Kluyveromyces lactis: one gene and its partner. The main gene of each other region encodes a partner of the protein of the gene in region 2 in a complex. Links are inferred from orthologs where the notes say so. Each region holds a gene or a part of one and is shown on either strand. Other genes may lie near its edges.

Region 1 (4,298 bases), about 1.5 Mb from region 2:
TATTTGAGCTTTCGCTTTTTGTGTGTTACGGCATTCTTTGAGTTTTTCTTCAAAGGCCTCCCACGTTTCTTAGGAACGTCTTCGTTGTCTTCGGAATCCAATTGATATTCTTCTTCAATCTCCTCATCATTATCTGAATGATCTTCATAGTCATTCCTGTGATCTTCGTGCTCAGAGAAAATTTCAGGCTCTTCATCCATTTCCTCCTCAGGTTGATCTTCCTCTTCTTCAACATTCGCAACAACCTCTTCATCATCGTCAGAGGGTTCCTGTGGAGCTTCAGTATAGTTAATTTTAGTCCTTTGAGATCTTCTCAAGTTCCGGTCCGTCGTTGAGATATCACCATACTCAACCTTTAGTTGCTCAAAGGTTTGTAGTAGTGATGACATTTTCTGCAAGTATTCCTTCAATATCAAGAATTTTGATCTTGATTTGTTGTATTTGTATTCTTTTGGTAATGGATTGCAGTTAAATCCCTCTACTGTATCTAATTTAGTGATTGTTGTGTCCTTCTTCAACAAACCGGCCGAAGGCAGGCCATTCGATGGTTCTTCTTTATCTGAGCCTATGTCTGAAGCGTTTACCGTGTCCTTTTGATTTGCTTCCTTCGAATCGTCGACTGTCTTTTTATTTTTGTTTGGTTCTTCCTCCTTGAACACTTTATACTCCAATAGTTTGATGAAATCTTGCAATGAAGAACTGTTATGGCACATTTCATACCAGTAAACTTTTCCGGTATTGGTACCATTCATCAAATCGTGAACCAACCCAGGGGTGTCATGATAATACAATTTAAACTGCATACTGTTCAACTTACCATCCCTACTGAATAGTTCGAAGGGTGTAATTGTTCCATTTTCAAACTGTTGTAATGTCTTCAACAATGTTATGGGATCACAATAATTAGTCGGAATATGCTTTTTAGCTTTTGAAGATTGATAAGTAAACAACCTTGGCAAGTAAAAATCTCCAACGTAGGGAATTCTTCCAATAAAGAATTCGAGACATCTTAATTTGTATATTTCATCTTCATAGGGGTCATCCAAAGGTTCCCGATCATGAATTTCTTCGAAGACCAATTTAGACCATTTCGAATAGTCCCGTTCCACGCTTACTGCTAACGCGTCAAACTTCTTTTTCTTATCTGTTGTGACTTGGTTGTACTCTTGTCTATACTCTCTCATATTTTTTTTGAGTTCATCCAGTAAAGCGAACTTTGCAGATAAATCTTGACGGGTACCACTTTCAAGTTGTTTTTTGACATGCTTTTTGGATCTACGCAATTCCATTCTTTCCTTTACCAAAGTACATAGCTTCTTGAAATGTTGATGAGCAGCATCTATGCCCTGAACAAGATGTCTTGGAGCGTGGAAGGTTTGAATACCAAAAGAGGGGTCTTTCTTTAGATGCGATAAACGGTATATCTCTGTGTGTATCTTCTCTGAATATGAAATACACCACTGCGTCAATGTCCTTAAAAATACGACCCTGTCAGATGGCATTAGTCCCAAAAGACCAAGTCGTTCCAAATCTGGATTATGTAATGGGTCTTCTTCCAAGGGCACGATCAATTGCTCAGTCCACTTGTAAATGTTTGGGGTTAAGATCTCAGGATGATTAGGATCAACAGCTTCAGTGTCATCGTGTTCAAACAATTTAGTGCGTTCCGCATTTAAAGTTGACTGGACCTTCCATTCTCTAGGATATCCAAATTCCACCCCTTTATGTCTCAATTCAGATATTAGTTTGAATGCTTTGGATGAAGTCTGCAGGGATTGCAATGTGCTATGCGATTTGCGATTCAAAGTCAGCTCCATTAATACAACATAAAGTAAATTTGAGTAATCCTGGCAGCGTCTAATTTCCCTTGCTGGAATATAATCTGCATAATACTGAGGAAGATCCTGTTCGTCGTCTATATTTTCTGGGTAAATATCAAGGCCAATTTCGAGGTCTTGAATAGATAAAGACCATAGTTCCTGAGGCAAAAATTTATGAAATTTGTTGATGAATGACATGACAAAGACCAGATCCTTTGCATATGGTGCTTTCCTCATATGAGGGAACTTCAATCTCGAAAAAACAGATGTTTGGGTCTTGAAGTCAGTAGATAGGACTGGTAATTGTGGTGCCCAATTTTCGAGGAGAATTGGGTTAACAGCTAAACTTAACGAAGGTGCTGGTTTTGATGCAGATTTAGAAAGCTTGATCGCATCCTTAGGTAGAACTGGCTTCGATGTTTTTCCATCCGATCGACTTTCTAAATCACCGGAGGGTTTGGGAGAATCCTTTTTCTTCAAATCGTCAGCGGTTTGTTTCTTAGAGATCATGCTAGCAACACTTTCTTTCGGTTTGCCATTGGTTTCAACATCGCTTTTGCTTTTCATATTAGCCTTTTTACTTGTTGTGCTATTTTTTTTATCACTGTTGGCATTGATGGCAGACTTTTTTTGGGCATTCTTTGCCTTTTCCTTATCCTTATCATTGTCCTTATCACTTTTCTTCGGCTTAGCCTTATTGGTATTGGATGGCCTATCATTCTTCTTTCCCTTCTTCGTCTTAGCGACCACTTTCCTATTATAAGGCCTTTTCTTTCTGGAGTGTTCTGGTTCTTCATCGCTTTCCACTTTTCTCTTGACTAGCACTCTATTTGATCTTCTTCTCGATATAGGTTCATTCAATGGAGAAGTGTCTGTATTTGATTCTGATAGCTGAACGGCAAAATTCTTAAAGTCTGTGATAGAGGTTTGCCCGTATTTCTTCGCCACGGGATGTTCCTCGGGAACTACCTCGATCATTTCTTCCTTATTCTGAGTTTCCATTGCACGAATGGTAAAAGACTTATCAAACGTGTAAAGTATCTTTTACTACCTTCCTGTGGATTAATACCGAATAATGTAATTGTTAAATTGATTAGCAAACAAAAACTGGAATGATCAAATCCTTTCTTCAGCTGGTATTACTAGTCTAAATGGACTTAAAACAAAGACAACCAGTCTTTAAGTTCTGCTGTATCGAGCACTGACTATCGAATAGGAGAAGTTACAGGTCTGGTGAATTAGACTCACTGCTTGATCTTTAAATTGCAGAAAGTCGTTTATTTAAACAAACCTGGTCCTCGTTGTAAAAACTTTTTGTTCCTTTCATGATTTCTATCAAATCGATTCTTTCGTTGGAAAGTAAAGTAGGTCGACGCGTTATTCTGCCAATTAGGCGGCAGGTTCCCAGGCCATCGAAGGGAAAAAAAACCAAATTCCAAGGTCACGTGCACAAATTGTTAGACTGGATGCCAATGGTTTTACCAGGAACAAACTAAACGTAGTGAAAGGTATTGGCAGCGTGAATACCGTAGCGTTTATACATAATATTCAAGGGATAAGATGCGATTATATACAGAGGAAGTGATTGTGAAGGGGAATAGACATTATGTTTCAGTACTTTCTTTTAATTTCCAAGAGCGAACTGGGAATGACGTGAAAGGGCGAAAAATAGGAGAAGCTGGCAGTCCTAGTAACTTGAAACCTGCACTGAACATTCTTACTTTCATATTGAATGACTGGAATTTTCATCTAGCGATAGAAATAAGTAGAACATTCTTTGCTGTATGGAAGAAGGTCCCTGTATGGTCAAAATTCTTTCTAAGAGCCGAAAGTTACCGGATAGGACATTCTAAAAGTTACCGGGTACCAAGCTATAACGATAGTTAGCTTTGCCAACCCTTACAAAAAAGCTCAACCGCACACATCTATTAGCCTGAATAACTCTAAAAAATATATCGAAGCTTATATGCACATCCTCGTCTCATCTCATCACTGCATATTTCGGCAGAAATAATTAAAGTTCTTGTACATAAATGCAAAGAGTGAAAAAAAAGTTGCAGCCTCACTATCAGCCATCTTGATGAGAAGCAAATATATAACGGAGTAAAGAAGATCCATCGGTGTGAACTTCTGAGGCAAACACAAAACATACCCTTCGATACGCAAGGATGACGGCTCGACCAGAGTTGAACACTTTACATAGTGCTGCCACAGAACCGACAATTATCCATTCGAATAATGAAAGCCTGAATGCTTTAGACTACACAGGAAATGATGATAAAAGTGTTGCTCTGAGCAATGCTATCAGCCGAACAAACTCGACAGGAAATAAGATACCAAAGAAACGGAAGCCCAGACGGATGTTCACTACGCCTGGTAGATTCCAACAGCAATTGGCAATTCCAACGAGTTATTTGGAGAGAAAACCAACAACCAAGGCAGAAGCCAAAGGGTTTTACTATTTTGTATCCTGCATGA
Region 2 (4,026 bases):
AACTTCAACTTGAGTTCAAATAGTGGGTTTGCGCATTGGCTGATCTTTCTACGTAGAGCTTCTTGATTCATCTTTACTCGTCTCACTCTTTCTTCTTCCGTCTCAATATTCTTCACGTATCTTTCATAGTCTTCCACTCTTTCAAGATTGGCCCAGAATGCTTTAGCATAAGCCCTCACTTCTTCTTCTGTCTTGCTACCACCGAATTCAGCAGCAATGGCTTGAATAGAATTACGACCATGTTTACCTGATGCAGTAATGAACTTACGGAAATCCAACTTATTCCAGTTATGGAAGCCTTCTTTCTCCCATTCAATTTTATTATTAGTTTCCTCTTCTGTCAATGGTTCTGCATTGGCAATCGATAGCTTTAGAAGTTCTAGTTTATCTTTCTTTTCTGCTTCATCTTTCACGTCACCATAAGTTGTTACAACGTCATCAAGGTTGGGAACATAATTGTTTTTCTTTGCAATCCACATTCTTTCCTTTTCGTAAATAGCCTTTAATTGTGGTCTTAATAATTGGTGGCTATTTAGAGGTTGTAATTTTGGCATCTTTGGTGGAACCGTATATTGATTGTTACGTCCAGGGTTTAACACGTCTTTGTAATAATTATCAACAGAATAGTTAGCATTCGTTGAACGTTCACGTTTCGTAGGTGGGATAAATAGTGGGTTAATGATATCCTTTTCAACCTTCTTTTTAAAATTTTGACCATCCCATTCATATGCAGAATCTTGGTTGAATCGTTGAAGTTCATCCAAACCCAAAGTTGCATACTTGGCGTTCAAACTCCTGGTCTTATCTTCAGATTGTGCTAGCAAGGCATCCAAATCCACATCTTCATCCTTGTCCTTCCCATCATCTGGATGTGGTGTTCCAGTTTGACTGGTCATGGCACTACTGTCATTGCTCTTGAAGACATCAACAGCACCATGCTGAATCATAGAAAGTAATCCCTCTTTGGAGTCATTTTTATTCTCCTTCTTCTTGTTAGTGACTCGCCCTTGTTGGATGACTAACTGATCCAATTTTAGTTTCTGTGTAGCTCTTTCCAAAATCTTCTCTTCCACACTATTGTCAGTGACAAATCTGAATACCCGCACTTGCTTTTTTTGGCCAATTCTGTGCGCACGATCCATTGCTTGCAAATCTGCTTGAGGATTCCAGTCAGAATCGTATAAAACAACAATATCTGCAGTAGTTAAGTTGATACCCAACCCACCAGCACGAGTAGTTAGAAGAAATATGAACTTCTTAGAATCTGGTGCATTATAGTCATCAATAGCGTTGATTCTATCTTCGTGTGCAGTAGAACCATCGATTCTACAGTACTCGTACTCACGGAAATAGCAGTAATCCTCCAAGATATCGAGCACACGAGACATCTGAGAGAAAATTAGGACACGACTGCCTTGTTCCTTGAATTTTTTTAGTAATTTATCCAACACTTTCAATTTGGCTGAATTGTATACTAAATGCTCGTCAGTAGTGTATGGAGGACCTGGTTCTGCACCATCGAATAAGTATGGATGATTGCAACATTTTCTCAATTGCATGACAATATTCAACAAACGGGTTTTTGATTCCTTTTGACCGTTTGAACCATTAACTGCATCTATATCTTTTTCGAGAATCTGTTTATACCACTTTTTTTGCATTGAAGACATACCAACATAGACGTTCAATTCCTTTTTAGGTAGTAATGAACCTTCGACGTCGTTCTTGATACGACGTAGCAAAAAGGGACTGAGCACAGTGTGCAATTGTTTGACCACTTTTTCTTTATCCTCTTCAGATGATTCGCTAGAGAACCATTCATCAAAGGTTGCCGAGTCAGCAAAAATATCAGGCAATAAGAAATTCAATAAAGCCCAAAGCTCATGAAGATTATTTTGTAGCGGAGTACCAGTGATAAGTAACCTGTTACGAGAGGAAAATTCTCTAAGAACCTGGGATAGCATGGATTCTTCATTCTTAATTCTATGAGCTTCATCAATAACAACATACTCCCAGTCAATTTTTTTAAAGGAGGCTTTTTCTCTAATGATAATCTCATAGGATGCAACACAGATATCGAAATCGCATGCTAAAAGCTTATCGTGACATAGCTTAGATCTTTCCTCTTTATCACCTTGAAGAATGAAGGCGCTTACCTCTGGAGTCCATCTATTAATTTCCCTGAGCCAGTTGTTTAAAGTCGATTTAGGAGCTATCACAAGGAAGGGGCCATTCTTCTTTTCAATATATCTTAGATAACCCAAAAATGCAATGGTTTGTAACGTTTTACCCAACCCCATTTCATCTGCTAGAATACCAGCTAGTTGATTTTTGTGCAACGCTACTAGCCAGTTCAAACCTTGGATTTGGTATGGTCTTAACTGTCCGTTAACATAAGCTGGACTTTCTCTGAATTGGAAATCGACATCAGCAAGCTCCTCTTCCTCTTCTTCTTCATCTTTCATAAGTTCAGCATCCTCTTCCTTTTCAGTCTTACGTCTGCGGGCATCTGTATGTTTCTTTCCCTTACCATTTGCTTTGCCGTTGACATTATCAATAGTGTCCAATACCTCTCTAAATCTAGGATCCTTGGCAGCTTTCCTTTCAATGAAATGTCTGAATAAAGTAGATAACCCAAGCAAATGTTCGAATCTCTTTACTGTTCCCTGTTCATCAAATTTGCGCTTCCCTGATGCCAAATCACGCAGTGGTAGCAAGTATCTTTCTTTCTTCTCAGCAATGCTGTTGGGAATTCCCTCTTGAAAGGGTTTTAATTTCTCCAAATACTCAGGTGAATCCATCTTTAATGACGTGAGAACCAGTGAAACAAATTTGCTGCTTCAGATATCAGAAATTATGAAGCTCCTACTACTTCATCAAAATACCAATCTTTGAAGTCTTTTTCTTTATATTAACTGAAGTAATTAAATTTTAGATCAAAGGATTACTTACCCAGTTTTTCCAAAACTTTCGTGTTTTGGTGTTGCAGGATGAAGATACTTGAAGTCACGTGCGTTAATAAGATGAAACAAATGGTCCTATATTTAAAAAAGAATACATACTGAAGCTCATCGAAACAGCGAAGTGAGAACACATCAATTATGTCTCAATTCCGTCTGCTTTTTTCGTTCCTTTTAAAACTATATGTGTATTAATTTGGACTTTTCCAAAGTTGTAGGGACTTGTCATAAAAAGAACAAGTTGCAACTGTTTCTTTACTCCAATCACCACCGTAACACATTGATTCATGCCCTTCTTTTATAAACTGCTCGGTCACGAAATGATCGTTTTGGACGTTGACAACCTTCGCACCATTATACATGCAACAAACCATAAGTCTGTTATTTGACAGTCCGTCATTCGTTGGGGCCTCCGAGAATCTCCAAACACCACCCTGTAAATTGTCTTCCCATTTATTAACCACAGGGACGTCTGTCCCTGGATATATTGTGGTTTCTGAGAGCATTCTTAGATCAAAGGATCGTATATGGTCATCATAAGAGCCTGTGATTAAACTTGTTGGCTTGTTGCCTCTAAATGTCTCCCTAGCAGCCTTAATTGCCGTAACACCAGCTTGATGAATTTTTGAATTGGACCAGATCTTTTTGCCTGAATTCAAATCATGAGCTGCAATTGCAGAGTCGTCACCACCAGTGAATACAACATCTTTCAAAGGAGCCAAACAGCCGAACTCGCCGGTCCAGCACTCCAAAGAATGTTTGAAATGAAAGATTTGTTCATGGTCATTCTGAACATTTATAACTTTGATGTCTGCATTTGGCACCTCAATATAATTTATTGTTGAGGAGTCGAAATACGATGGCTCCACCTCCTCTATAAAGCATATTTCACCATGTATGATATCAACAGTAGCAAAATCCCCATTAGTAGTGGTTAAAAGTACGAGATTATCCAGCAATGGAGAAAACTGGAGAGACGTTATTAGACATGTGGGATCAAATACTTGAAGGTTGTTCAATAGTTTGATATCAATTGATGAATTATCATCGTCGACAGATATCGTCC

The links.
Region 1: ISW1 (region 2) and IOC3 share a complex: the UniProt entries of both Saccharomyces cerevisiae proteins name them as parts of the ISW1A complex. The link is inferred for Kluyveromyces lactis from reciprocal best matches to the Saccharomyces cerevisiae genes ISW1 and IOC3.

The regions. Positions count from the first base shown.
Region 1 is NC_006042.1:2,159,246-2,163,543, forward strand, and holds the start of IOC3 (Ioc3p), read right to left. Parts: upstream 2,823-4,298; coding exon 1-2,822. Other genes in the region: KLLA0_F23221g (uncharacterized protein), read left to right, coding at 3,989-4,298. UniProt on the Saccharomyces cerevisiae protein: Functions as a component of the ISW1A complex, which acts in remodeling the chromatin by catalyzing an ATP-dependent alteration in the structure of nucleosomal DNA.
Region 2 is NC_006042.1:644,425-648,450, reverse strand, and holds the start of ISW1 (chromatin-remodeling ATPase ISW1), read right to left. Parts: upstream 2,802-4,026; coding exon 1-2,801. Other genes in the region: RRT2 (diphthamide synthase), read right to left, coding at 3,152-4,026. UniProt on the Saccharomyces cerevisiae protein: Catalytic component of ISW1-type complexes, which act by remodeling the chromatin by catalyzing an ATP-dependent alteration in the structure of nucleosomal DNA. They are involved in coordinating transcriptional repression, activation and elongation phases.